7 linked regions of the Xenopus tropicalis genome follow. The protein of the gene in region 2 interacts with the protein of the main gene of each other region in a pairwise test. Links are inferred from orthologs where the notes say so. Each region holds a gene or a part of one and is shown on either strand. Other genes may lie near its edges. The genes, in order: cchcr1, mad1l1, mfap1, usp15, tex11, lgalsl and bag5.

The links.
Region 1: the proteins of mad1l1 (region 2) and cchcr1 interact in binary tests that used the Homo sapiens proteins (3 or more experiments, as listed by UniProt). The link is inferred for Xenopus tropicalis from reciprocal best matches to the Homo sapiens genes MAD1L1 and CCHCR1.
Region 3: the proteins of mad1l1 (region 2) and mfap1 interact in binary tests that used the Homo sapiens proteins (3 or more experiments, as listed by UniProt). The two-hybrid records come from large-scale screens. The link is inferred for Xenopus tropicalis from reciprocal best matches to the Homo sapiens genes MAD1L1 and MFAP1.
Region 4: the proteins of mad1l1 (region 2) and usp15 interact in binary tests that used the Homo sapiens proteins (3 or more experiments, as listed by UniProt). The two-hybrid records come from large-scale screens. The link is inferred for Xenopus tropicalis from reciprocal best matches to the Homo sapiens genes MAD1L1 and USP15.
Region 5: the proteins of mad1l1 (region 2) and tex11 interact in a two-hybrid assay, tested with the Homo sapiens proteins (2 studies listed by BioGRID and IntAct). The two-hybrid records come from large-scale screens. The link is inferred for Xenopus tropicalis from reciprocal best matches to the Homo sapiens genes MAD1L1 and TEX11.
Region 6: the proteins of mad1l1 (region 2) and lgalsl interact in binary tests that used the Homo sapiens proteins (3 or more experiments, as listed by UniProt). The two-hybrid records come from large-scale screens. The link is inferred for Xenopus tropicalis from reciprocal best matches to the Homo sapiens genes MAD1L1 and LGALSL.
Region 7: the proteins of mad1l1 (region 2) and bag5 interact in binary tests that used the Homo sapiens proteins (3 or more experiments, as listed by UniProt). The two-hybrid records come from large-scale screens. The link is inferred for Xenopus tropicalis from reciprocal best matches to the Homo sapiens genes MAD1L1 and BAG5.

Annotation. Positions count from the first base shown.
Region 1 is NC_030684.2:75,158,315-75,161,814, reverse strand, and holds part of cchcr1 (coiled-coil alpha-helical rod protein 1), read right to left. Parts: intron 3,185-3,500; coding exon 3,053-3,184; intron 2,879-3,052; coding exon 2,768-2,878; intron 1-2,767. UniProt on the Homo sapiens protein: May be a regulator of keratinocyte proliferation or differentiation.
Region 2 is NC_030685.2:31,040,442-31,044,659, reverse strand, and holds the start of mad1l1 (mitotic spindle assembly checkpoint protein MAD1), read left to right. Parts: upstream 1-1,418; 5' UTR 1,419-1,457; exon of another isoform or gene 1,458-1,480; intron 1,481-1,508; exon of another isoform or gene 1,509-1,531; intron 1,532-3,436; 5' UTR 3,437-3,464; coding exon 3,465-3,617; intron 3,618-4,218. UniProt on the Homo sapiens protein: Component of the spindle-assembly checkpoint that prevents the onset of anaphase until all chromosomes are properly aligned at the metaphase plate.
Region 3 is NC_030679.2:107,681,155-107,684,030, forward strand, and holds the end of mfap1 (microfibrillar-associated protein 1), read right to left. Parts: intron 2,607-2,876; coding exon 2,498-2,606; intron 2,424-2,497; coding exon 2,263-2,423; intron 2,099-2,262; coding exon 1,939-2,098; intron 1,710-1,938; coding exon 1,620-1,709; intron 1,011-1,619; coding exon 831-1,010; 3' UTR 501-830; downstream 1-500. UniProt on the Homo sapiens protein: Involved in pre-mRNA splicing as a component of the spliceosome.
Region 4 is NC_030679.2:62,759,285-62,763,481, reverse strand, and holds the start of usp15 (ubiquitin carboxyl-terminal hydrolase 15), read left to right. Parts: upstream 1-1,397; 5' UTR 1,398-1,476; coding exon 1,477-1,565; intron 1,566-4,197. UniProt on the Homo sapiens protein: Hydrolase that removes conjugated ubiquitin from target proteins and regulates various pathways such as the TGF-beta receptor signaling, NF-kappa-B and RNF41/NRDP1-PRKN pathways.
Region 5 is NC_030684.2:44,799,164-44,802,663, reverse strand, and holds part of tex11 (testis-expressed protein 11), read right to left. Parts: intron 2,476-3,500; coding exon 2,390-2,475; intron 2,312-2,389; coding exon 2,174-2,311; intron 1-2,173. UniProt on the Homo sapiens protein: Regulator of crossing-over during meiosis. Involved in initiation and/or maintenance of chromosome synapsis and formation of crossovers.
Region 6 is NC_030681.2:32,406,962-32,411,116, forward strand, and holds the start of lgalsl (galectin-related protein), read right to left. Parts: upstream 2,801-4,155; 5' UTR 2,705-2,800; coding exon 2,672-2,704; intron 1-2,671. UniProt on the Homo sapiens protein: Does not bind lactose, and may not bind carbohydrates.
Region 7 is NC_030684.2:98,469,449-98,472,790, reverse strand, and holds bag5 (BAG family molecular chaperone regulator 5), read left to right. Parts: upstream 1-1,153; 5' UTR 1,154-1,187; coding exon 1,188-2,540; 3' UTR 2,541-2,842; downstream 2,843-3,342. UniProt on the Homo sapiens protein: Co-chaperone for HSP/HSP70 proteins. It functions as a nucleotide-exchange factor promoting the release of ADP from HSP70, thereby activating HSP70-mediated protein refolding.

The sequences.
Region 1 (3,500 bases), on a different chromosome or scaffold from region 2:
TTTGGGAAGGCCTTATAAGGGCCTGAGGTCCAGATCCAGGAACTCATCAGTTGTGGCTGTAGGTATGGGTTTTTAATTTTAGCCCATAGGGGGCTTGTATGATAGTGGGACCATGCGGATATCCACCTTAAATGAGCTGCATCATGGTAATTTTGGATAGAGGGGGCTCCTAAGCCGCCTTGTAACATATTGGTTAATAGGATTGATCTGGAAATTCTAGGCCTTTTATTACCCCAAATGAATTTCTACAAAGCACTTAGAACTTCCTTTATCATTTTAGTAGGTACTGTCACCGGAATGGTCTCGAATAAATACAAATATTTAGGTAAGATATTCATCTTAATTGCCGCAATACGACCAAACCAGTTTGACCATTTATGTAGCGTGAGTTTTGTTTGGTGAATCAAGGGAGAATAATTTTGCTTAAAGGACATGTAAAGCCTACATTTGCCTACAATGTATATCAGTTAGGCACATCACCCCCACCCAAATGGCATCATTTGTACTGCATATATACCCCTCCGCTAGCCAGCACCATCACATTTTCCTAAAGCAAATAGCTGCTTTCACCCGGTGGCCATTTTTCCTCTGATACATAATCAGTTACATTTAAATCTGCAAACAGCATACACACACACAAAAACCCTTATGCAGCATAAATTTCATCAACAATACAGGCTCACACAGGCAGAACTGTCTCTGATAAAAGTTCTGCTTTGTTTGAGCACTGTAGGTAAAGCTGAGCTCAGGAAAAAAAAAAATTGAAGCAGACAGCTAGAGCTGAGTTTCTATGGGAACCAGCAATGCCATCTCTTCACTGGCTGCTAGACTGGGGGCATGTTTAGTAATCTGAGCTTAGAAAAACTGAGCATGCCCACAAGCCAACAGCCAAAGCAAATTCCTGAGGGAGGGGGCCGAGTGGGTTACAGGAGGAGAAGCAATGTTAAAGCCTAACTGTTAACCTCTGGACAACCAGTGTGGCACATACTGAAAGATTTAAAAGAGGCTGATCACTGATTAAATTTTTGTGTATGGGGTTTACATGTCCTTTAAGAAGGGAACTATATAAAAGGTGTAAGGCAGACCCCTAAATAGGTAAGTTTATCTGTTTTCCATTTGTAGGCAAATTTTTCTTTCAGTGCTTCAGCTGTCATGGGGTGCATACCTTGTGAAAGAGCTTCTGACTTGTCCATATTGATCTTATATCCTGACAGGTTGCTATAGGTGCTAAGGATACTATGGAGGACAGGGAGTGATGTGTGTGGGCTGGTTATTGATAGAAGTACATTGACTGCAAACAATGCTATTTTGTATTCTGTGGAGGAGATTTTTAGCCCTTGAATATCTGGGTGGTCTCTAATATATGCTGCCAAGGGCTCTATACTTAGAGCATATAAAAGAGGGGATAGAGGGCACCCTTGCCCAGGAGTTTAAGCTGGGCCGTTTGAGAGTTATATAATGCTTGTATAGCTGTAAGGAAAGGGCCCTTGAAGGCAAGATGTATTAGAAGGGAAAATAGGTAAGGTCAGCTAAAGCGATAGAACGTTTTTCTACATTCAACCCTAAAAATACCATAGGTTTGCCTAGCTTTTGTGCTGCCTCCAGTAATACAGTTGCCCTTCTGGTGTTATCTCCAGCCTGTCTCCCTGTTATAAAACCCACCTGGTCAGGGTGGATTAGCATAGGGGCTAGAGTAGATAACCTATTGGCCAATATTTTAGTGACCTCCAGGTCGTTTTAATTAGCCTGCTTGCAACATTGTTTCAGGAGTCAGAGCCAGGAATGCCGGGAATGTAAAGTCAGACATAATTTGCTTTTTATGGCAATGTGCAAATAATGGCAGAAAGAGATGCATCTTGTTAGATTTTTTGGACAAACACACACAAGCTAATTAAATGAGCCAAGTGACTTGCCATGTGGGGGCACTAGATGAAATGACCAAGTTAAATGCAAAAGTATTGACATTAGCCACCCAAAGCATTATTTAACAAGTCTGTACCAGGGATGCACCAAATCCACTATTTTAGGATCCGGCTGAACCCTGAATACTTTGCCAAAGATTTGAACGAATACGGAATTAATATGTAAATTAGGTAAAGGAAGGGTTAAAGAGAACCACGCATGTAGTGTGTGCTGAAAACTTTTCAGCTTCTACGATTGTGAGACAAAAAGTCACATGATTTTAAGGATTGGTGCATCCCTAGTCTGTATACAGAACAAACATTAAGGGGGCAGATTTACTAAAATGCCATAATTTCTACTTTTTTCTATTTTCAAATTCAACTAAATTGATTTTCCCAAATGTCTAATATTTACTAAAAAAATTTACTGCAACAATTTGGAAAAAGTCGAGTTTTCATACAAAACCCTGCAAAATCTCAAAGGTTTTGAAATAAAAGAAAGAACCTTAAGAGAAGGGACCTTTGCGATTAACTTCTACATGAACTCAGCAAATTTAATCAGGCAAATTATGAAATTCGGATTTTTAGCCGTTTAGATGCATAGTAAATGTCGAAAAATATCTGAATTGAGTTTAAAATAAAAAATAGATGGTTAGTAAATGAGCCCCTAAGCATCTGCATTAAACATAAAACTAACACAAATAAAGGCTGATGACTATACTGAACTACACAAACAGTTTTATGTTCCGAATAGAACATTTTTTGAAATTTTGGGAAGCTTTATTATTTACTGTTGGAAAACTAACCACTGCCCTTAACCTTAAAAGTACTGCAATGAAGCCCAATTTATAAGGTTCCATACTCACTTTACTGTGGACCCTCTCCATTTCCAGCTCAGCTGTACGATCTTGTAGGGTGTGTAAAAGTAAAATCTGCTCCTGATCTTTTTCTTGCAGAGCTTTTTCCAGGGATAAGATCTACAATAAATGAAAAACAAGCCGGCTAAAATGTAACTGTAAACAAAGAACAAAAGAGAGTTGAATTGCAATCACAGAAATGTCTGTGCATTGTTTACTGACACACTGCTTTTTAAATATCTCTCGCACACAACTTTTTCAATCTCCATTCAACACCATTCTTCCATTTCTTACTTTTTCTCTGCTTTTTCTATGGTCATCTTCTTTGTTGATTTCCTCAGATTTAAGCTGAACCATGAGGCAGAAAACCTTCTCACGCCATCTTGACAGAAGATGTTGAAATTTCTCATAATCCTGGGGTACGCCCTACAAAATAAAGCCATGTTTAGGTTTGCATAAATTAACTGAATTATTTAGCTCTGATTGCAGTCTCAGTGCCATCATGCCACACGGAGCATAAAACAAGGAGAGCTATTAACATTTATTCAATTTGTGACCGCTCACAGCAATCCAAATGCAGAATAATGTAAGAAAGAACAAACACAATACACACAGTTAGTGAGTGCAACCTTATTATTTTTTATGCTGCCCAGCATTTACATAAGCAGGCACTTCCTTATCATTGCAACCCTTTAGGCTAATGGCAGATGAGGCGTAGGCGGATATTTTCGGCAAGCGTAAA
Region 2 (4,218 bases):
AAAGTGCAGCCTCCGTTGTCTCACACCTTACTATCTATTTTTTTTTTTTAGACAGGACCTGCTTTTACAATGTGCCAATGTGTGTGTACTTTATACATCTTACGAGTCACCACACAAAAAAAACTTGTCCTTTATGATCTTTTAGACCAGGGGTCCCCAACCTTTCTTACTCGTGAGCCACAGTCACATGTAAAAAGCCTTGGAGAGCAACACAAGCACCATAAAAGTTCATGGAGGTGCCAAATAAGGGCTAAGATTGGCTATTAGGCAGCCTCTATGCACACTATCATCTTATAGGAGGCTTTATTTGGTAGTAAATCTTGTTTTTATTCAACAAAAACTTGCCCCCAAGTCAGGAATTAAAAAATAACTACCTGGTTTGGGGGCACTGAGAGCAACATCCAAGGGGTTGGGGAGAAACATGTTGCCCCTGAGCCACTGGTTGGGGATCATGGTTTTAGACAGTCAGTGCTCAGGTTTGGTAACTTTGAGCTGCACTTACTTTAGACTGACTCAAACATGTACACAATTACCTACTCTAGACAATGAACGGCTGCATCAATTAACTGAAAAATTGGCTTGTGAGCCAAAGGGCACATACCGTACTCAGTACAGCCACTTTTCTATTGCCCTCTTCCCTTCCTCTGACAGCAACTATCTGCACAGTATTGTCACTACCTCGTCTGCTGATGCACAATTGCACCATACAGTCAGCATAATACATTGGCAGATTCAGGCCCAGACTGAATGCCAGAGGGGCTGCTGTAAGATATCATAGACATTCACTGTTTAGTAGGCTAGTGTGGGGCCTCTATGCAATTTGAATGCCAGGGCCTATTTTGAGCATCAGTCCAGACCTGGGCAGATTACTTTTTCCACCATGTCTGATGACCCAATCTATATGCATGGTACAAAGATATTGTCTTGATTGTCAGGCCAGCCTGCAATATATTAAAACTGGTTATACAACTAGAACTAACATGATTTTCAGTACTTGTAGGCTGATGTGACACTCAAGACAATATCTTTGTACCATACATATAGGTGCAGCCTTAGTAACCATAAAGGACAGTACTAGGAAGATTATATAAAAGTTTAGAAAATAAATGTATATATTTTTATATATATATATATATATATATATATATATAAATATATATGTTTAAATATATATATATATGTTTAAATATATATAAATATATACATGTATACATTTAAAAAAAAAATAATAAGTGTGTAAAAAAAAAAATAAGTGTATATATATATATATATAAATGACACCCTACCCTCTGCCGATCTGATTCCAGCTCGCTGGTAACTGCGCCCAGTTCTCTATCAATACGGCAACGCCGGCAAACTTAGGGTGTTTACGGTAAATGTGTTCTCTCGCGAGAGTTGCCCAGAGATTGCTGAGAGCGGGATTGTTCATTTCAGGGAAGGGAAGGAGGAATCTGGCGGTGAGTGAGAGGTGCTGTATTGGGTGAGCATGGGCACAGCCGCACAGGTCTCCTGCTCTACAGTTATTGGTGATGTACGCACTGCTGGTGTCTATGTGCAGCTGTATTGCAGGACTGCAACTCCCAGATTCCACCAGTTTCTCAAGTCAGTGTTGCTCAGGGTCCCAAGCTGCTACATTACAGCCAAGTTCGCAGCAGCAGCCCAAAGGGAAGTTTTAAAGCGTGCAACTATTTCCCCTTTGACTTAAAGTGCTAGAAACCACTGGCCTTGGGATCTTGAAGAATGCTGGGAAATGTAGTCAGAAGATCTAGTCTACAGCATGCAGTAATAGCCTATTAGGAGGGCCCCCCCAGCACTTGTAGACTCTGCTTCCTTGGGATTACTTAGGATTTTTGCACAGTTAGACATCTATCAAAGAGCATATCCATAAAGAAGAAGCAGATCCTGCCATTATAAGGGGGCAGTGGGGTGCTTACTGATAAGCGGTTTAATAAAAAATATATTATTAATGTGTTAATGATTTTGATGGGCTCTTTAATGCTTTCATACTTCTTGTGGGTTACATTGGAAGGGTTAAAAGGCTGATGAGTTTTGAGCATGTAATGCTCTACATTATGGAAAGGCTTCCCCCCCCCCCCCCCCCCCCCCCTTCCCAATCCAGAAAGTTTAAGATCCCAAGCATTCTGTGGATATTATATCTCGGGTTTATAAAGGAAATATAGACCCTCAACAAATTATTGAAAAATTGCTCCAAGTGCTCATGTAAGCACTTTTGCCACTTTTGCCTCCATTCAAGATATTAACAGTTTTTCAGCTGCTAGTATAATGAATTTGATTCAGCAGTGCTGGCTACTGGTCATTTTGGCTGCCTGGTTGCAATCAGCAGAAAATTAATTATGTGAGAAGACCAGTGGCTTGTAAAGTTGCTCTGCTTAGAAAATGAAGTGAGCAGAAAAGAGTCATCTGGGGTTGCTCTGGTCATTTCTAAGCACATTGTCATCACAAGATGTTCCTTTCCTCTCTCTAACTTTTCATTTTCATCTGACTGTATGCAGATAGCTAAAATAAACAGCAGGTGGCGCTGAGGTTTGAAATTCATTATATTAGCAATTATGTTTAACATATGTGTCAGGATCCACAAGGGTAACCGTGTTGTTTACGAGGGGTCTTCATGATTCCCCTAAATAATATATTTTTTCCTACAATTAAATATAGTGAAGCTGGCTTTAGAAAATAACTTAGGGCCCCTGAGAAAAGAGCTTATGAATGTAGGCAATGGTCATAATTAAGTTAAAGAGCTGCTGCAGTTACGGAGTGTCAGTATATTACTGAGTTTGTACCATGGTGCAATTACACTAGCACTTTATAGGGTGTAATTTGCATTAAATTTTCCAGTAACAATATTGTTATTATTTACTATGCATTTTTATACCTTATAAAGTAAAATTAGATATGTGCTGTCTATTTATGGTTGTATTTTTTGTCTTTCTCCTTTTAAAATTGAAACTTATTTTGTTAAATTGCCCTTTAGGCGTGAAATGGAAATCTCCCCAATTGCTGGTGTTCGTTGCATTGCCATTATTTATATTATCTGTGCAGAGAATTGCATCTTCACATAGTGCAGATAAAGACTTAAGGTGGCCATACACGGGCCGATTGTAGCTGCCAATATCGGCCTGTGTAGAGGCAGGAACGACGGGCATGCCTGACCGATATCTGGCCTGAAATTGGCCAGATATCAATCGTGCAGGTTATAAGATTTAGTCGGATCGGGGACCGCATTGTTTCGTTGATGCAGTCTCTGAACCGACTGCACCCATTACTGCCAGTGTAATTCGATTGTTTGGCCCCAGGGGTCTCTTAATGTTCCTTGTTAGGTTTTTTCCCCAGCTAGAAACCTTAGAACCGTACAGTCATATACAAACATATTTGTATTCTGGCTACATAATCCACTGACATTTTCCTCCCATTGTTTCAGATCTGCCTGTAACCTGTGAACAGCTAAAATGGATGACAGTGAAGACAACACCACTGTCATTTCCACACTACGGTCATTTAATAAATTTCTTTCTCAGCCATTGGAAGGGACAGCACCTTCTCTTGGTACTTCAACATCTACTGGAGCTTCCCTTCAAATGCAGTTTCAGCAGCGCTTTCTGGTATGTGTATATATATCATTAATATTTATTAATATTATCTAACAGAGGGATGTTACTATGCAGGTCTGTACTAATGTTTGCATTTGACTAAAACTGGGGGCGGTTATAGTTAAACATACCTATTACCGCCCCCAGTTTTAGCCTAAACTAGTCTGTGTACAGGAATTTTCACAACAGACAATTGGCTTATACATAACTTATGCAGTTTGTGTAAGTTTAGCAACGCAGCTGGGCCCCCTTCTGAAGCAGAATTCACCAGTATTCTGAAGCAGGCCCACCAGTACCCTCCATCCCCCCTAATGGCAGCCCTAGTTGGACCACATATATTGGTCAGTAATGTGCAAACTATATAACATTTCTTGCAAAAGTTGTAAAGTTCACATGCCTAGAGTAACTACAGGTCCTACAGACATGCAAAATATATAAGCAACAGTAGTCTGTCCTCTCAGATCTACAGTTGAACTCCTAATCGCTAAATGGAGGGGACCCATGTTTTTACCTCAGTATCATAGCTCTTGTTATACTACAGCTTGTATTGGGGTTACTTTTGAAACAGCTACTAACAGTGATCCCCTGCAAACAGGTTACATAAGCAGAAAGC
Region 3 (2,876 bases), on a different chromosome or scaffold from region 2:
CTGAGACAGGGACTCATGATTGCTTTATATGTTACTCTGTGTGTCCAATGTATGAAACCCACTTATTGTACAGCACTGCAGAATATGTTGGCGTGTTTTAAATAAATGTTAAAAATAAATAATAATATTATTGACTATATGCCTGGGTGGAAAGATTTTCAAAATTTCAGATATTTTGCCCCAAAAAGTTTAACAGCAGATCTGTATATGACTGACCATGTAACTATAATGCATGAAGCCAACCCAAATTCACTTTTCATTATAAAACTACGTACCCAGGCAACTCTTTGTCACTTGTACTGTGCTTACTTTCCAGTCAGCAGATAGCATGTGGGACAATAAAAGGTCTTGCATAGACAGATACCTGTACATCAGACCAATCCACACAAGATGCTGAATGCTGGACATGAGAAAATGGACCAGTGGCTTTCATTACTGTACAAGCAAAACAATTATTTCACAGGATTGATAGAGGGGCATACAAAAATCGTTAGGAGATATGACAGAGTAACTTTTTTATTTACAAATATTATCAAATCTTGCCTCGGTTTCAGTGTTCCTGAATGTCAAAATGATTCTAACTAAAAAATACCTTTTATAACATTTTTGAAAAAACTGTGAAAATCTCTGTTTCTCCACAGCTTGGAGAATGCTTTGTGATTTGCTAATGACAAACCCAACAATTCATTCACACATTAAAAAAAAAAACATTACATTACTTGCAAATTATATATACAGAGTATGTGCAAGTAATGGTGGTCCTTGTTTATGAGCTGCAGTTCTTTTTATAACCCAGAAAATATGGACAAGTCCCTCATAGACACGGACATTTATGTCTTTCTTTTCTGCACAGTCGGCCTCTCAAACACATCCCTTACTCCTGCTGCCTTCTGTTTGAAGAACTTTGTGTTCTGTGGATTGTCCTGACCCCAAGCAGAGTCAAATGAAGTGGTGTCCTGATCAACCAAGTGAGTATATTTTGTCCGACCTGAACGTCCAAAATTCTTGACCTGAATAAAACAGATGATATCAATTTATGAACTGGATTGGAAAACCACAGATTAAAATCTTCCATGCTATGAACCCAACATAAATGGCATAAGTAAATTGTAGCCAGTGCAAATTAAGGACATGTTTAAGATATATTGGGCTATTGTGTGGGGACTAGCAGAGGATTTCACAGCTACTGGAAATGAAAATTTTGACAAAAAAGGACAGTTTAATATTTATAACCATTTTGCTCCATAATTTCCAGTTGACTAACATCTCCCAAGCAATTTTGTTTGCTTTATATATAGAATCACTAGAAAACAAACACTTCAGTTTCTTGCTTTTGGAAAAATATTCCATTGTATTTATGTAATGGAAACATTAAGGGGTGAATGCATAATGTTTTCCCTCCTGCATATATTTTATAACAGTGTTACTGATGGCTGGCAGTTTTAGACTTTGCTAACTCTTCATTGTTCACTACCACCTTCCTAATCACATCCAGTATCCCTCCTATACTGTGATAATACACATTTTTGTGTGGCCCAGTAAAACAGGGAATCAATCTAATACTTTAGAATTCAGGCAGAGCAAAAAAAAGTAAGAAACGGCAACATTCTTGCAATTACCTGCATGACCTTGGGCAATATAGTCTTATTAAAATGATCCTCCAAGGTGGGTGCACTGAAATCCCTTTTATATACATCTTCATCTCCATCCTATGGGGGGAAAAAAAAGACAAAGCTTTCTGTAAAATAAGCTTCTGTAAAATTCATCAAAATTTATCAAAATGTGAGAGTACCGAGCTCACCACAGAAAAATTCACCAATTTCCATAATATCAGATTTTTAGAAGCAAATTTATCAAATGGTGAATTCTAACATTTACTCTTTTAAAAATCCCACAGGAATGAATATAGAATGGGTAAATTAGTTAAATAGTTCTTACCATGAAGAATGCACCTCTGTGGTAATATTTTTGCAGAAATTTGTATTTCCCCTTCAGTGCCTTGTTGGTTATTATTTTGCCGTTTGCACGCAGCTCTGCCCGTCTTTCCTCATCTGTCATGTTACGCAGACGATCAACCTCTGCCTTTTCCTTCTCCATCCTGTTACATGACACATAAACAAAATAACATTTAACTTTAGGCACACAAGTCCAGGTAAACTGTGAAAGTTATCAGTATTATCCAAAGTGTAAAGAAACCATGGCAAGCAGTAAATGAGCCGTACAGTATGACTTTATCCATAGAGTCGGGATAGAAATACTTACGCCTCTCTTTCTTCTCGGTCTCGCTTGATGCGCTTTAACTCTCTTACTTTCCAGGCTTCATATTCCTCTTCATCATTCTCATCATCTGTGTTGAGGGCATCAAGGGCTGCCAGGGATCGCTTATTCTCTTCAATCTCCTTCTTTGTTTCCTCCTCTACAATCTGTACATGAAATATTGCAGTGAGGAAGCAGAAAGTTCTAACAAAACTACCACTGCATCAAGACAAATACTTACCTTCAAGGTGTATTTCCTTCTCTCCTCTGCCATTCGTTTTGTCTCTGCCTCCAGCTCCTTCTGTTTAAGCGCCTCAGCTTCTTTTTCCTGCACAGTAACTCTGTCTTTCCTGAAATGGTTACAGCAACATACTGTAAGCCCTTTGGTATTTAACATCAAGCAGAGAGCCATTTCATATATGGAAAATCACAGTTGCTATAATTTTAAATGTCCCAAATACATTAAAGATATTTTTTTTTCAGCCTGCAGCTGCATAATGCAGGTGGGTCACAAGAAAATAAGAGCAAAGATGCTGAGATAAAATGCAGGGGAGCAGGGGAGACTACCCCCTCCCAAAAAAAAAACAGATACTGCCCCTTTAATTTGTAACCTTGGAAAC
Region 4 (4,197 bases), on a different chromosome or scaffold from region 2:
TAACCTCTTAGTCAGTGACTTTAGGGTGGCCATATGGGACATAACTGTTCAGTTATTAGGTTGGTTTGAACCAACACACTGTTCTTCAACTTCATCTTATTCTTATGCTTCTTAATCTTCTTTTTCTTAGCACCCCCCATTTTTCTAAATACTACTCCTACAGTTTTAGGGGTACAACACCCAGACTCTACAAACTTCTTCATCCTATAGCGGAGCAGGTTGCTCCAAGACCATAGTGTTAGTCTGTAAGTATATGCACAATTGGATAAGGCTAAAAGGAAGTCACTGAAGAGTGTGAAATACGGAAATTCACTTATTTAAATAGACATGAACGTTAAACACTTTGCAGTGGATTGTATTTATGTGTTTTCACAGAAAAGTGAAGTGAATTTGGTAGTGATTTGTTTCGGATACAAACACATTTGGAGGGGTGATTATCAATATTATATTACTGTATTACGCTATATATACATATACATATATATATTTTTTTTTTCTTTTATCCCATAAGACCTCATCTGGGAAGTCTGGACAGAGGAGGGCGCTCCAGAGTTAAGTATTATTGTTTAAACCAGGGGTCCCCAACCTTTCTTACGCGTGAGCCACAGTCAAATGTAAAAAGACTTGGAGAGCAACACAGGCATTATAAAAGTTTATGGAGGTGCCAAATAAGGGCTAAGATTGGCTATTAGGCAGCCTCTATGCACACTATCAGCTTACAAGAGGCTTTATTTGGTAGGAAATCTTCTTTTTATTCAACCAAAACTGCCCCCAAGTCAGGAATTCAAAATAACTACCTGGTTTGGGGGCACTAAGAGCAACATCCAAGGGGTTGGTGAGCAACATGTTGCCCCCGAGCCACTGGTTGGGGATCACTGGTTTAAACGGAAGCACAAGGTATCTGGAGTGGGCTATACATTTCATTCACACTAAAAAATCATTGTTTCATATTAATTAGACATCTGCCCACTCTAGCCTTTATAGATCACATTTTTGCCTAACTATATTGAAAACATCTTTTTGCAGTCGAAAACACTTTTTTTGCCCAGTCTATTCTACCCACTTTCATTTCTACACTGAACTGTTCCTTTAAAGCTCAAATGTCTGAATTATATTTGGCTGATTGGCAAATCCAAATCCCATATATCTAAGACTGTTTTAAACTAAAGGGGGAGAGCTGACCAAATTTTTGATGAAAAGGGGAATTTTGCTACATATCTTTCTTCACCCTATCTTCGTAATGTATTCGAATGAATCTAAAATATAAGAACACAAGGCAATGTATTACTAGAAGAGTATCATCCAGGTCTATAATAACTTGGTTTTCACTGTCTGCAGCACATCATTCAGCACCTCACACTGTGCCCACCCACTGTCCGACTTCTTCCAACAACACAGCCGGGAACGCGCTTTTTCCCTACTTCGCCTACGTGACGTCACTCCCAGAATGCAGCGCGTAGCTGTCAGTGGAGTAAGATGGCGGAGGGCGGAGTGGTGGATCTGGAGACTCAGAGATCCGAAGTGTCAGCCCTGCTGAAAACCCCTCTCAGAAGAGGAGACACCTGGTAAGCATGAGCGAGCACAGCGGGGAGATGTGGCAGGGGACGCGCTCTCACTTACTAAGCGACGGTGTGAGGGGAAAATGCAGGTTCCAGGCAGTGGGAAAGGTAACGAAGGAGCTTGACAGGGAAAACATCTGTATCATGCACAGCAGCAGCGCAGTGTGTGGGGACAGAGTACCGGGTTTGTCACCTGTTCATTGTCACTCATGTGCTGAGAGCTCGCTAGGGGCAGTCTGCCTCATTCCTAAGCATCTGCGGCCGGTTGGCCACACGGACTCCAAGTCCTGTACTTGTGTAGTTCAGGGGCCTTGGGACGCTTATGACTTCTCCCACAAGCCCACTCGCATACAGTCGCTGTGCCAGGGAGACCCGGCTGTTCTCTGCTTGCAACCCCTAATGTTTGGCCTTTCAAAATATGCTAGAGGGCCTACTTTTCATTGCTGTTATCTGTTTAATTCAGTTTTGAATATTACTGATAAAATATTGCACATAACATGGAACCCCCAAAATACAGTTTTAGATAATAAAAGAAAATGTTATTGTAAATAACTTACAAAAAAAAATCATTTTGATGGTTTTAAACTGCAGCGAAAGCATGTGTGTGCATTTATGCGCTCTGCATATTGCATGTTTAAAAAATGAAGATTGACGATATTCTTCACACAGAAACAAATTTTTCAAGACTATAAAAATGTAAATCAAAAATGAGCAACGGTATCCAGAAAACTTAACTGAGCTAGGATAAATCTGCCCCTACATATGGCTGTTAAATGTTTAGTTTGTTTCTGCTTTAATGATGGTTACCACTAGAAAAAAATCTGAAAATCTTTTCCGCAATTATTTAGCAATGGAAACAACGAGGATAAGGTTTGAGCAACTTGTAAATTCCTCTCATAGACTTGCATTAAAATGAATGCAGTGCTTATTTTTCTCAGACAACTTTGCATGTTACCCTGGTATAGCTGCAAGATTTGGCATAGGAAATAGTGGATTTCATCAGCTGAGAAAGCCAACTGAGGAAAGCTTGCAATGCGTTTATAAATAAGCAAATGTAGCAAAAATCCAGAAGGTCAGGTTATTTAATGGGATCAAATTAAAACTCCTGAGAAGAAAGGCATGAACCTTATTCAGACTATAATAAATTTCCCCAAATCATTGCATTTGATTCTGGCTCTTTGCCTTCAGTGCTGGTCACTGTGATGCTAACTGAAAATAACAGGCCCTTTCCCTGTGCACATTCTTATTTTTAGCTTCCTGGAATCTTGAGTTTCTGATGCTGAAAATGTAGAACAGTTGATGTCCTTAGTAGTTTGTTGATGACAAACCTGTGCCATATGGCTACAGATGGTGTACTGTGTAACAGGCATTGTGATAGATGTCATGTATCAGTGTTACTGTTTAGAACTGTACTTACCCCATTTAGTCCTTATCCACATTTTTCCTTAATTACTGTTTCTCAGATGAAGATTAATTTTTAGGTCTAGTCACATTATTGCTCATAAATGCATTCCTTTTGAGGTCACATACTGGAGGTGTGATTCAGCTAATAGTGTTAGATCAAATTTTATACTGCAGTATAGGTCTTTACCATTACCAAATACTATATATGTACTCACATGGAAATCTACAACAGTATTTTGCTAGGGTTGCATCTGATCAAGTCATTTTGAACTAATGTGGTACCAGACTAAAAGTAATTTGCACCTTCTATGATCTAAAGAATATACTTTAAGAATCTTCATACCATGTAAACATTACTTATAAATAATTTAGAAACCTAAAGTAACTTATTCCATCAGTTTACAAATTAGCATGGTTTCTCAGGGCCCCTTTTGAACCACATCACTGACAGCTGCCAGAATTTAAGTATTCATCCCATATCAAGTACCATGTCAGTTGCATTCTTTGTTTGAATCCCTATGATTTGTGCTGACTTGCAGTCTTTGACTACTGAGTGCATGTCACAAAGATTTAAACAGGAAACAAAATGATGCAGGCCAAGATGTTAGCATCTAACACCAGTACACAACTCTGCACTTCGCTATGTGCTACAGGAGTCACCAGCAGTTGTAACTTATGTGGTTTGGGTGGGGGGCCTGGGGGAAAGTATGATGGTGCTATAGTTAAAATAGTGTCAGCAATCTGGTTTTTAAAGGACATGTCAACTCCAAAAAATATTTTTTGCCTACTAAAAGAAAACATAATTCTAAGCAACTTTGCAATATACATTAATTACATATTTGTAATTGGTTTTGAGTTATTTGTATATATAACTGCTATTAACAGCAGTGTTTGTCTGTCCTTTTCTATTCTCTGCCCTGGTGGCTCTGGCGTTTGAAACAATGTAACCACAAGTCAGCAGATTGACAGACCTGTCTTACTGGAGGAGACTGGCATTTACAACATTGTTTAAAAAGTAACAACCAGGAGTTCAGCAAATGCTGCTTTCAATAGCAATTACATTTACAATGAACTTTTAAAGCACTACTAATTTTTAATAAATTGCTATTGGAAAGTTGCTTAGAATTAAGTTTTCTTTTATTAGGCATAAAATTATTGTCTATTGTGTCTACTAGTGGCTTGCTCATTTAGCTCAGTAGCTGTGATTCAGTCTGCCTGCTTTACTTGCCTTACT
Region 5 (3,500 bases), on a different chromosome or scaffold from region 2:
GAAGCAGTGTTTCCCTTTGTTTCAGTGGGAGGCATTGACAAATGAGCATAATGCACCGCTATGAGCAGGTATTTGTGCACTGGCATAGATGATAAAGGTAATACAAAACTCCAGAATAATAACAACATACATGTGCACCCTTCTCATAAATAATGGTTGCATACCTTCCTACATTCCCCTTTAACATAGTACATTTGTACTCATATGTGATCCATGCATCATTGCCACTAAATGATGATATGAACAATACTTAAAAATACCAGATTTTACCAGGTATGCAGAGATTTCTCCATGGACAGATGCTCTTTTAAAGTGTATGTTTTTCAAAGGGAATGATGTAGGGTATGTACTGTAAACAAATGCAAGATGCAGTTTCAGAAATTCCTCAGAGTTGGTCCCATCATATAGCCCCAGAAAGCTGATTTATTCAGTCTGTTTTCATAATCTCCATTTTAAAGATGGTTTAGAAACTGTTGTTAGGCAAGATGTATATATATATATATATATATATACAGTGGTGTGAAAAACTATTTGCCCCCTTCCTGATTTCTTATTCTTTTGCATGTTTGTCACACAAAATGTTTCTGATCATCAAACACATTTAACTATTAGTCAAAGATAACACAAGTAAACACAAAATGCAGTTTTTAAATGAGGGTTTTTATTATTTAGGGAGAAAAAAAATCCAAACCTACATGGCCCTGTGTGAAAAAGTAATTGCCCCCTGAACCTAATAACTGGTTGGGCCACCCTTAGCAGCAATAACTGCAATCAAGCATTTGCGATAACTTGCAACGCGTCTTTTACAGCGCTCTGGAGGAATTTTGGCCCACTCATCTTTGCAGAATTGTTGTAATTCAGCTTTATTTGAGGGTTTTCTAGCATGAACCGCCTTTATAAGGTCATGCCACAACATCTCAATAGGATTCAGGTCAAGACTTGGACTAAGCCACTCCAAAGTCTTCATTTTGTTTTTCTTCAGCCATTCAGAGGTGGATTTGCTGGTGTGTTTTGGGTCATTGTCCTGCTGCAGCACCCAAGATCGCTTCAGCTTGAGTTGACGAACAGATGGCCGGACATTCTCCTTCAGGATTTTTTGGTAGACAGTAGAATTCATGGTTCCATCTATCACAGCAAGCCTTCCAGGTCCTGAAGCAGCAAAACAACCCCAGACCATCACACTACCACCACCATATTTTACTGTTGGTATGATGTTCTTGTTCTGAAATGCTGTGTTACTTTTACGCCAGATGTAACAGGACACGCACCTTCCAAAAAGTTCAACTTTTGTCTCGTCGGTCCACAAGGTATTTTCCCAAAAGTCTTGGCAATCATTGAGATGTTTTTTAGCAAAATTGAGACGAGCCATAATGTTCTTTTTGCTTAAAAGTGGTTTGCGCCTTGGAAATCTGCCATGCAGGCCGTTTTTGCCCAGTCTCTTTCTTATGGTGGAGTCGTGAACACTGACCTTAATTGAGGCAAGTGAGGCCTGCAGTTCTTTAGATGTTGTCCTGGGGTCTTTTGTGGCCTCTCGGATGAGTTGTCTCTGCGCTCTTGGGGTAATTTTGGTGGGCCGGCCACTCCTGGGAAGGTTCACCACTGTTCCATGTTTTTGCCATTTGTGGATAATGGCTCTCACTGTGGTTCGCTGGAGTCCCAAAGCTTTAGAAATGGCTTTATAACCTTTACCAGACTGATAGATCTCAATTACTTTTGTTCTCATTTGTTCCTGAATTTCTTTGGATCTTGGCATGATGTCTAGCTTTTGAGGTGCTTTTGGTCTACTTCTCTGTGTCAGGTAGCTCCTATTTAAGTGATTTCTTGATTGAAACAGGTGTGGCAGTAATCAGGCCTGGGGGTGACTACAGAAATTGAACTCAGGTATGATAAACCACAGTTAAGTTATTTTTTAACAAGGGGGGCAATCACTTTTTCACACAGGGCCATGTAGATTTGGGTTTTTTTTTCTCCCTTAATAACGTAAACCTTCATTTAAAAACTGCATTTTGTGTTCAATTATGTTATCTTTGACTAATAGTTAACGGTTTTTGATGAGCAGAAACATTTAAGTGTGACAAACATGCAAAAGAATAAGAAATCAGGAAAGGGGCAAATAGTTTTTCACACCACTGTATTATAGCTGTGGCTCTAGCAGTAATGTTATAAAACTAACCTTGGGATATTGCTTGAGTAATATGTAGCAAGACGCTCGGTTCCTCTGAAGTTTGGCAAGGCTGAGTTCAGCTGTTCCAGAAGCAAAGAAGCTTAAGGAGTAGTTATACCACTGCAAAGCTTCAGCATAGTTCTTTGCCTGTGGAAGACAGCAGTCATTTAATAAAACAAAGCTAAATATCCATGAAATTCAACAAAACAGCACTGGCTACAAGACCTCAAAGCATTTGGCTGCATAATCCCACAAGATGGCATGCAAATGGCTCAGCATTTCTGGAGACAACTGCTTTTTTGAGTAATGACCTGAAAAAGAAGATACGAGACACAACCTTTAGTTTTTTTTTTCATTTATTTGTGATTTTTGTGCTATTTAATGCATAAATGTTTAAATGTTTATATCTAGAGCACCAACTAAATGATTTATATGGACAAACAATCCCTGTTTTGCTTAAAGGGAAGGGCATTTCTTAGTAGCTTTAATGCACCGAATGTCTTAAAGGAACAATAACACCAAAAAATAAAAGAGCTTTAAAGTAATAAAAATATAATGCAATGTTGCCCTGCACTGGTAGAACTGGTGTGTTTGCTACAGTAACACTACTATAATTTATATAATAAGCTGCTGTGTAGCCACGGGTGCAGCCATTCAAGCTGGAAAAAAGGAGAAAAGGCACAGGTTCCATAGCAGATAACAGATAAGTTCTGTAGAATACAATAGTGTTTTATCTGTTATCTGCTATGTGCCTGTGCCTTTTCTCCTTTAAATGGCTGCCCCCATGGCTACATAGCAGCTTATTTATATAAATTATAGTAGACTTTCTGAAGTAAACACACAACTTTTACCAGTGCAGGGCAGCAGCACAATATATCTTAGTTACTTTTATACACTTTCATTTTTTGGTGTTACTGTTCCTTTAATGTCCTATATATATTGATAATGGGTGAGTGCAGAGGATCTCTTGTTGTTGTTTCGAGCACATTTATCAAAAATATAGATTATTCTTCTTCTTTAAACAGTGCAAACATGGAAATGCTGTACTTCAGCTCCTTCTGGTTAATGGATTTCATTATAATAATTACATTTACTCTTATGAATCATATGGTGCAATAAAAAAGAAGCACTACAGAAATGTCTTTACATCTGTGTTGGCAACCAACAGACCGAAGACATTGTTTGAGGAGTTGATTGCCTGACCAGGTATAAACTTTCTGTTTTATGTTTAGGTTTGGAGCCTGCTCTTAAATCTTTCCCCAAGATTTAGTGGGTCTAAGGTACTTTGGGTATGGGAACATCAGGGGCCAAAGAACTGCAGGCTGTAGAAGGCAGT
Region 6 (4,155 bases), on a different chromosome or scaffold from region 2:
TTCTGTTCAAACACGTGGCATGTCATGTAGAGTCTGCCAGGGGATTACTATAAATACAGGGCAAGACGTAGCGCTAAGAGTAAATACACTCTCATACAGAAACAGTCATCAGGTCTTTTAAAGTGGCACTTTCTCAAACCAGGTCTCTTTAAGAATGTAGCTTCCTCGTAGCAGCTGCATCCCCCCCTCCCAGCTGCTACTGAAATACACCTTCCCTCAGGAGCAAAGTGTGGCTCAGAGATAAAATAGGCCCTATATATAAGCAGTGTTTACGTTATAATATTATTCTGTAAATATCTAGTACAATACACAGACACAGGTTATCTGCATATTTGTTTTTATTTATATGAATGGAAAGAGCAATTTTGGTTAACCTGGCAAGTCTATATAAAGGTACAATGTGGTTCAAAATAAAAAAAAAGCATGCTTCCCATGGCTAACAGTCCAATGCTTTTTAAAATGGATCAAGAAACATAAATTGGTGTAAACTTATTCACGGTGGCCCTCTAAGTGCAATTTACATAAAAGTTGTCTGGGTATAAATCTGCTAATACCAGGCTTTCAGCTTTCTTTGAAGGTCACAGTGACAGCAAGCTTAAACATCTATGCACTTTCAGTTAATACTGAATATTTAGCCTGGCATCAGCAGCCTAAAAGTGGCTCAGAAAATGAAATGAATGAAAAATGTTGATAGAACCACTCAGAATAAGTCCCACTTAACAGTATGATATTCTGAGGTGTCCAGGTCTATCTACACCCAACACTTCTGAAAGTACAGCAGTCAAGTGAAGGAATGCCACAGGCACTTTTCACCATGCTACAATATGCCAGGTTATAATTGCCCTGTGTGACACTAGCATTACCCTGCTGTTAATTTTGAACTGAATATCTGAAGGACCATGTAAAAAGATATTTTACATCCTAAATATTATCCTTGTATGGCAGAGAAACATCCAATTCATTTGTAATTGCATTTTATTCTTTCAGCAAAAATGCTGATTAATCTTACTTAGATATGTTACTCTCTAACATATTTATGTTTCTCTGTTTATTTTTATATTGTTTGGGGAATGAGACAGTAACCCTACGCATTTCATGCTAGCGCCATGCTCCCTGCAGTCATAAGGTCCGATCAGTTAGAGGCTCAAAAAACACAAAATACATTTTGTTTAGCTTTTGCTGATTAGAAAAAAGAGCAAAAGCAAAGCCTAAAAAAAACTAATTTTGTGTTTTTTGAGCCTCTAACTGATCGGACTCTCATTCCCCAAACAATATAAAAATAAACAGAGAAACATAAATATGTTAGAGAGTAACATATCTAAGAAAGATTAACCAGCATTTTTTGTTCAAATTACAAATGAAGGGTGTGTTTCTCTTCCACACAAGGATAATATTTAGAATGTAAAATATCTTTTTACATGGTGCTTTATGCGTTCTCTGAGCTTTGCAAGGTTACACATCAGAAATGCAAGACAGAGAACAACAAGAGACACCAGGGATTAAAGGGAATCCGTGGGTAAATAAAGGGAGACTTATCGCTGTAATTCTTTTCTAACAGCCCATTCTCACGGTCCTGTTTGTGACAGCTTCACGGTTCTGAGGCCTAATGTCAGTCCATTTCATTATCCGTTCATACTTTGTCCGAAACACGTGGGGTTCATTTACTAAGAGCGCTGCAAAAAATTCTGTGCCTACCTACAAACATTTAACATTTGGTGCCAAGTCTAAGGTGGGGGCAAAGACTAACCATAAAAAGGCCACCCAAAGGTGCTGGGACCAAATAGTTCAAGGTTGTAACAGTAAAAACAACAAACCCACCACCATCTGGGAGCCCCACAGTAGCGAGATCCCAGTGGGGTTTCAATGGGCGCACAGGTTCCATATCAGTACATCAATCGAAATTTAGAGGGTGCCTGCACAGATGTTCCAGTGGGGCCCTGTCAATGGTATTCATAGTGACAAAAGATAAAAAATATAGGTAAGCTGGTATTTCTTCCAGAAGCGGTGGCCACCCAAGCCTCAGGCCAGGTCCCAACCAAGACAGGGCACCCTGGCAGGCACATACCACTCTACAAACCTTGCCTGTACTGAAATGCATTTTTTCCAAAACTGTGGTGCTTTTTTGTTGAATGAATGTCACAGGGCCCCACAGTTCATGATCGCCAACATGTCCACCATTTCCCCAGTGGAGCAATCCAGCAGTGCGGGCTAGTGCCTGTCCTTCCAGCAGCCGGTAAGCCAAGCTGACAGGCTCCTAGTGTGTGCATAGGAATGGACTTGCCCCGATTTACACTACAATTCTTATACTGTGATTCCTGGTTATTGGACTAACAGTGATTTGGCCATACTTAGTAATAGAGAATATTCTACATACGAATAGGTGGTGCTTTCCACACATCGATATATATTATGCAGCAGGTTTGTTCCAGTCGTGTTCCTATACATACCGTGCTACTGTAGGGAGTCGGGACTAGTACACGTTGTAATATCTGTCAGCCCTCATGGATACTGTATAGTCTGCCAGCTAACAAGGCGGCCAGGTCAGACACAGCATGCCAAAGGATCCAAGCGGGCACCAGTAAGGTGGCACTGCCCCCCCCCCTTCCCCTCAATTGGTATGCTCCCGATTCTTTATGGATCAGCAATAATATGTTGACGTATAATGACTTACCAGTGCTTCGCTTTCAACCAGGGATCCCGCCATCTTGTAGCGAAGCCTAGCACGGATAAGCAAAGGCTGCGGGGGGCACCGGATCAGCTGGAGCCCGGGAGGGAGAAGGAGGAGGTGACAGTAGCAGGGGATGGGAGGGCAGGTCTGAGTCCAGCTCAGCCGGCGCACAGAACAGAAGGAAGCCGGGGCTGACCTGGCACTGCAAAACCTTCCCACCAGCTGGGGAGAGGGGAGGTGGCGATGGAGGAGGAGTTGCTATGTGTGTGAATGGAGGAGACAAGCTCAGGCTCAGGCTGGCAGTGTCTATGGATAATCACTAGCTTCTGCATTTGTAAACACGAAGGGCTGGTATGGCGGATTCACAAATGAATCCTACTGTGCCCCAACCCAGTTTTGGATATAGGGTTCCAATGAACTACAATTCCCACATCCCAAACACTAGTAGTAGTGCAACAACAGGTTACTGTTACCCCACCTTGCCTTGCTATACACACTGCCCTACAGTTGCAGCTCTGTTCAATGACACCATCTTGCCATACTATAGGTAATAATCCCATAGCGTTAAATTCACTGCCTTATAATTTGGCCTTTTTCTGGCTGTTACCATTATTTGTACATTAGCAAAACTAAACCCAGTCAATCATAAGCAAAACAGGTCTCAAAGCTTCCCTATATACAAACTGAACAATGTCAATGCTCCTAAAGTTATTTGTAAATGTAATATAGAAAGCAATGTATGTTTATATTCTCTGCACTACTGGTTCTACCTCATTAAACAGACGGAGCTGGTAGCAGCTCAGTAGAATAATAATAGTAATACATATTTCAAACTATAAAATAATAGTGCATTGCAACCCATGATAGGCTGAGCCTTGCACAAGTATTAAAGGGGAACTACACCCAAAAAACTGAATTTATTTAAACATATTTAGAGTGCTTCTCTGAGCACATCTGTAAGTTTTATTTATTTTCTGTTTTCAGTGGTTTCTGAAATATTTGCATTTTTACAAGGCTTTAGAGTCAACAAGTCTAGGGTTAAATGAATAGATAGTTAGGGTGGCTAACATTCCTACCTTTAAAAAGAGTTGAATGCCTAAAGGCAGAGGTCCAGGGGTAATAACAGGGGCAACAGAGGGATTACTAGACCTGGGCTGTAAAGCAAGAAAAGGGACTGGCAAGAACTGGATATGCAGAAATGTAAAGTAAAAGTAGCAGACAGACACGCCATACAGGACTGGGCAGAATAATAAGACATACAGGAAAGTAGCAGCAAACAAGTCCAGGAGCCATGTCCCAATGATTTAAGAAATAAGGTGGGAAGAGGCTGAGATTTGCAGGGCCTTATTCATACCTTCTACCATACCTTTTCCTGGCAGGTGTGGGGGTTGGCGTTAAGAAACTACCAGAAACGTGTCTAAAGGCTTAGTAAAAATAATTCATAAACATAAAAACCCCAGGTTGCAATAACAACACTGTTACGTACT
Region 7 (3,342 bases), on a different chromosome or scaffold from region 2:
AGTTGGAAACAGCCATTAAATGGTCCCTAAGGTGTGTAATTATGTTGCTGGGGGTTGCTGTGCTATCCACAGGGGAGGAGGAGGCATATGGATTTAAGGGTGTGTCTTAATATGACATAATATAATTCTTTCACATATGAATAACTGTTGATATCCCCGCAGTGAGGACCAAGCATTTGGGTTTTTGGTGCACTACCACCATTGTGATAAAATGGGTGTGGTTTGAAGTAGGTGTGGTTCAAAAAAAGGGGAGTGGCCAAAACTGGCTTCCATTAGCGGCCCTCCACCGTGTATGCTAAAGAAATTCCGGCCCTCGGCACCGCAGAAGTTGGACAGCACTGGTATAAACTTTGACTAACTAGCATTATCTTCCCTTTATGTTTCACACCAGATTCACTGGTGTGCTGTGTGCACTGGCCTCAAAATTTGTGTGAGCATGGAAAAGTGTAAGAGGGCATCATGGCCAGTACTTTCTGCTAAACGGGATTCAGTTTTCTACTTAATTTAGCTACATAGTTTCATACTTAAGTTCTATGCAGGAATTTTTGGAGATAGAGGAGGAGAAAGAAAAGTATAACTAGAACATTATTTTATTAAAAACAGTTTAAGAAAAATCCTTCCAGTTTTTAAGTGAAGTGCGTGGGGCATAGGTTTCAATTATATATATATATATATATATATATATATAGCATGTTGCAAGAAGACAGGCACTCACGTATAAGTAGGTCCAAGGGAGCCTGGGTGCAGTCCCAAAATAATAGATGGAGTAGCTGTAGAGAGAGTCCGCACTCACAGGTCTTAAGAAAATATAGAAGTTTTATTCAAATCAACATTATTCAAATCAGTATATATATATATATATATATATATATATATATATATATATACAGTATATATACATGGATGAAGAGATGGTTGTAAGCTCTTTTGGGCAGGGCCCTCTTCACCTCTTGTATCGGTTATTGATTGCTTTATATGTTACTCTGTATGTCCAATGTATGTAACCCACTTATTGTACAGCGCTGCGGAATATGTTGGCGCTTTATAAATAAATGTAATGTAATGTAATGGTTAGACAATACCTGTTTTTTGTTTAAATAAACATGTCTTAGGAATGGCATCTTTACCTTTTTGTTTTTGGTTTTTTTTTTAGCACCAGTATCTTCTAAGAAATTGCTGTATTGAGTATGGATATGGGTAATCAACATGCTTCAGTCACAGCTCTTCAAGAAATACAGAAGAAGGTCAAAGAGATTGAACAACAAGTGGTGACATTTAGTGGTCTAAAGAGTGACCCAACTTATAAAAAGCTTGAAAAAGATTTAACTAAACAGTTATTTGAAATAGAATCTATTGAGACAGAGGGAAAAGGAAACATTCTACAAGCCCAAAAGAAAGCTACTGAAGAGACAGAAAGAGTTTTAAAGGAACTGGAGCAGAATGCAACCCATCCTTGCAGACTTGAGATCGAAAAGATCTTTAGTGAAACTCAGAGTTTGGTAGCGCTACATACTACACAATTTAGTGGGGAAGGTCAGAGAACAGATGAATTTGAGGAAGGAATTCAGAATATTTTGAAAAGACTTACTCAAGTAAAAACCGAGGGAAAGATCCCTCTAAGAAAAGCTAGGTACCGAACTTTAACTAAAGTTCTTGCCATTCAAGAAATTTTAGAAAGCTCTTCTAAACAACAAGTACTTTCTCTCCCTCTCTCTGCTGAGGCACATCCAACAGTTTCTAAAATTAACTCAATTATGTGTGATGTGAACAAAGCCAGATGCAGTCTCATAGCTCTTCTAGCTGGCGTCAATGACAATGAAACATACAGGCATTTATCTTGCACTCTTACTGGATTAATTGCAAACCTGGATGCTCTGGATGTTTCTGGCCACACAGACATAAGAGAGTATCGCAAAGAAGTTGTTAAGGAAATCAACAGTTTGCTGAAATATTTGGATTTAGAGGATGAAGCTGAGTTGGGAAGTGCTTATGACTTGGGCCAAAACCAGTCAATTGTAAAAATAGAAGAGATTCGCAAAGAAGCAGCAAAAATAAAGAACAGTCTTTTAGAAGTGCAGCAGCATATGTCTGACATCTATATGGGTACAAAGTCAGAGCTGCAGGGCCTCATAGCTAGCTTGGATGAAGTTAGTGTAGGGAGGAATCCTTGCATTCGTGAAGCTAGAAGACGAGCTGTAGTTGAGGTCCAAACTGTCATCACCTACATTGATCTAAAAGAAGCTCTCGAAAAGCGCCAGAGTTTACCAGAACACACAGTCTCAGAGCCTCCATGTTATATAGCTGTATGGACTGTCTTTGGACATTTATCTGAACTTCAAAAGGAAGTCCTCTTCTTTGATGGGAAGAGAGCTGATAAAAATTATATGAGATTAGAAGAATTTATTACTAAACAATTGCTGGCTCTTGATGCCATTGATTCACAGGATGGCCGTACAAAGGCTGCAAGAAAACAAGCTGTGAAGCTTGCAAATAATATCCTTGGATATCTTGATATGAAAACTGATGAATGGGAATACTAAAAAAAACACTGCTTTCGCTTTGCTTGCACTTTAAATATGGCTGTAAAGATGTCTCAGTTTCATCCTTGCATTATCATTGCAAGATAGGGTTTTTACTAAGCCAATTATCTGTCATAAAACAAAGCTTCAGTCAAAAGCTAGCCAGTTTTTGTTTTCATGTACCAATGGCGAAAAATTATAGAATGTTTAATGCTAAATATCCCAGTTTGACTTTATCAAGTGGAACAATAAGTGGCATATTTCTAGTTGTATCTCTCTTCTCATTTTTGTGCTGATTCTTAAATAAAAGTTCTGTCTTTTTTGATGGGGGTACAACATTGTCATTGTTATGTACACAAGTGAATAGTATGTACATTTTTAATTATATTGTTCAGTGTAAAAAGGCTGCTGCGTTTAAGGTATCTAATTACAAAATAGACATTGCAGCACATGCAGAATTAAAAGATGTAGTTCAGCTTGATTTCTGTTAATTCCTATGGGATTTTTAGAAGTGTGTTTATCAAATGATGAACTCTAACTTTTACCCAGTAATAAACAGAAATTAAGGGTGAATGTGGGTTTTCATGTATTAAGCTCTAAACTCATTTTTTAATAAATCAGCACCATTGTGTCATTATATATTTAGAGAATGTGCTTCACAAACCAAAATGTGCATCTCGTAATTCTGTACAGACAGCGAAAACATTCTTAAAGCATAGCACATGCTATTCAAAATGGGCAAAAAATTCAAATTGAATAAGGTTTTTTTTTAAAAAAAGATATACAAAAATTCACATTTTATCGCATTAAATCTTGCACAAGC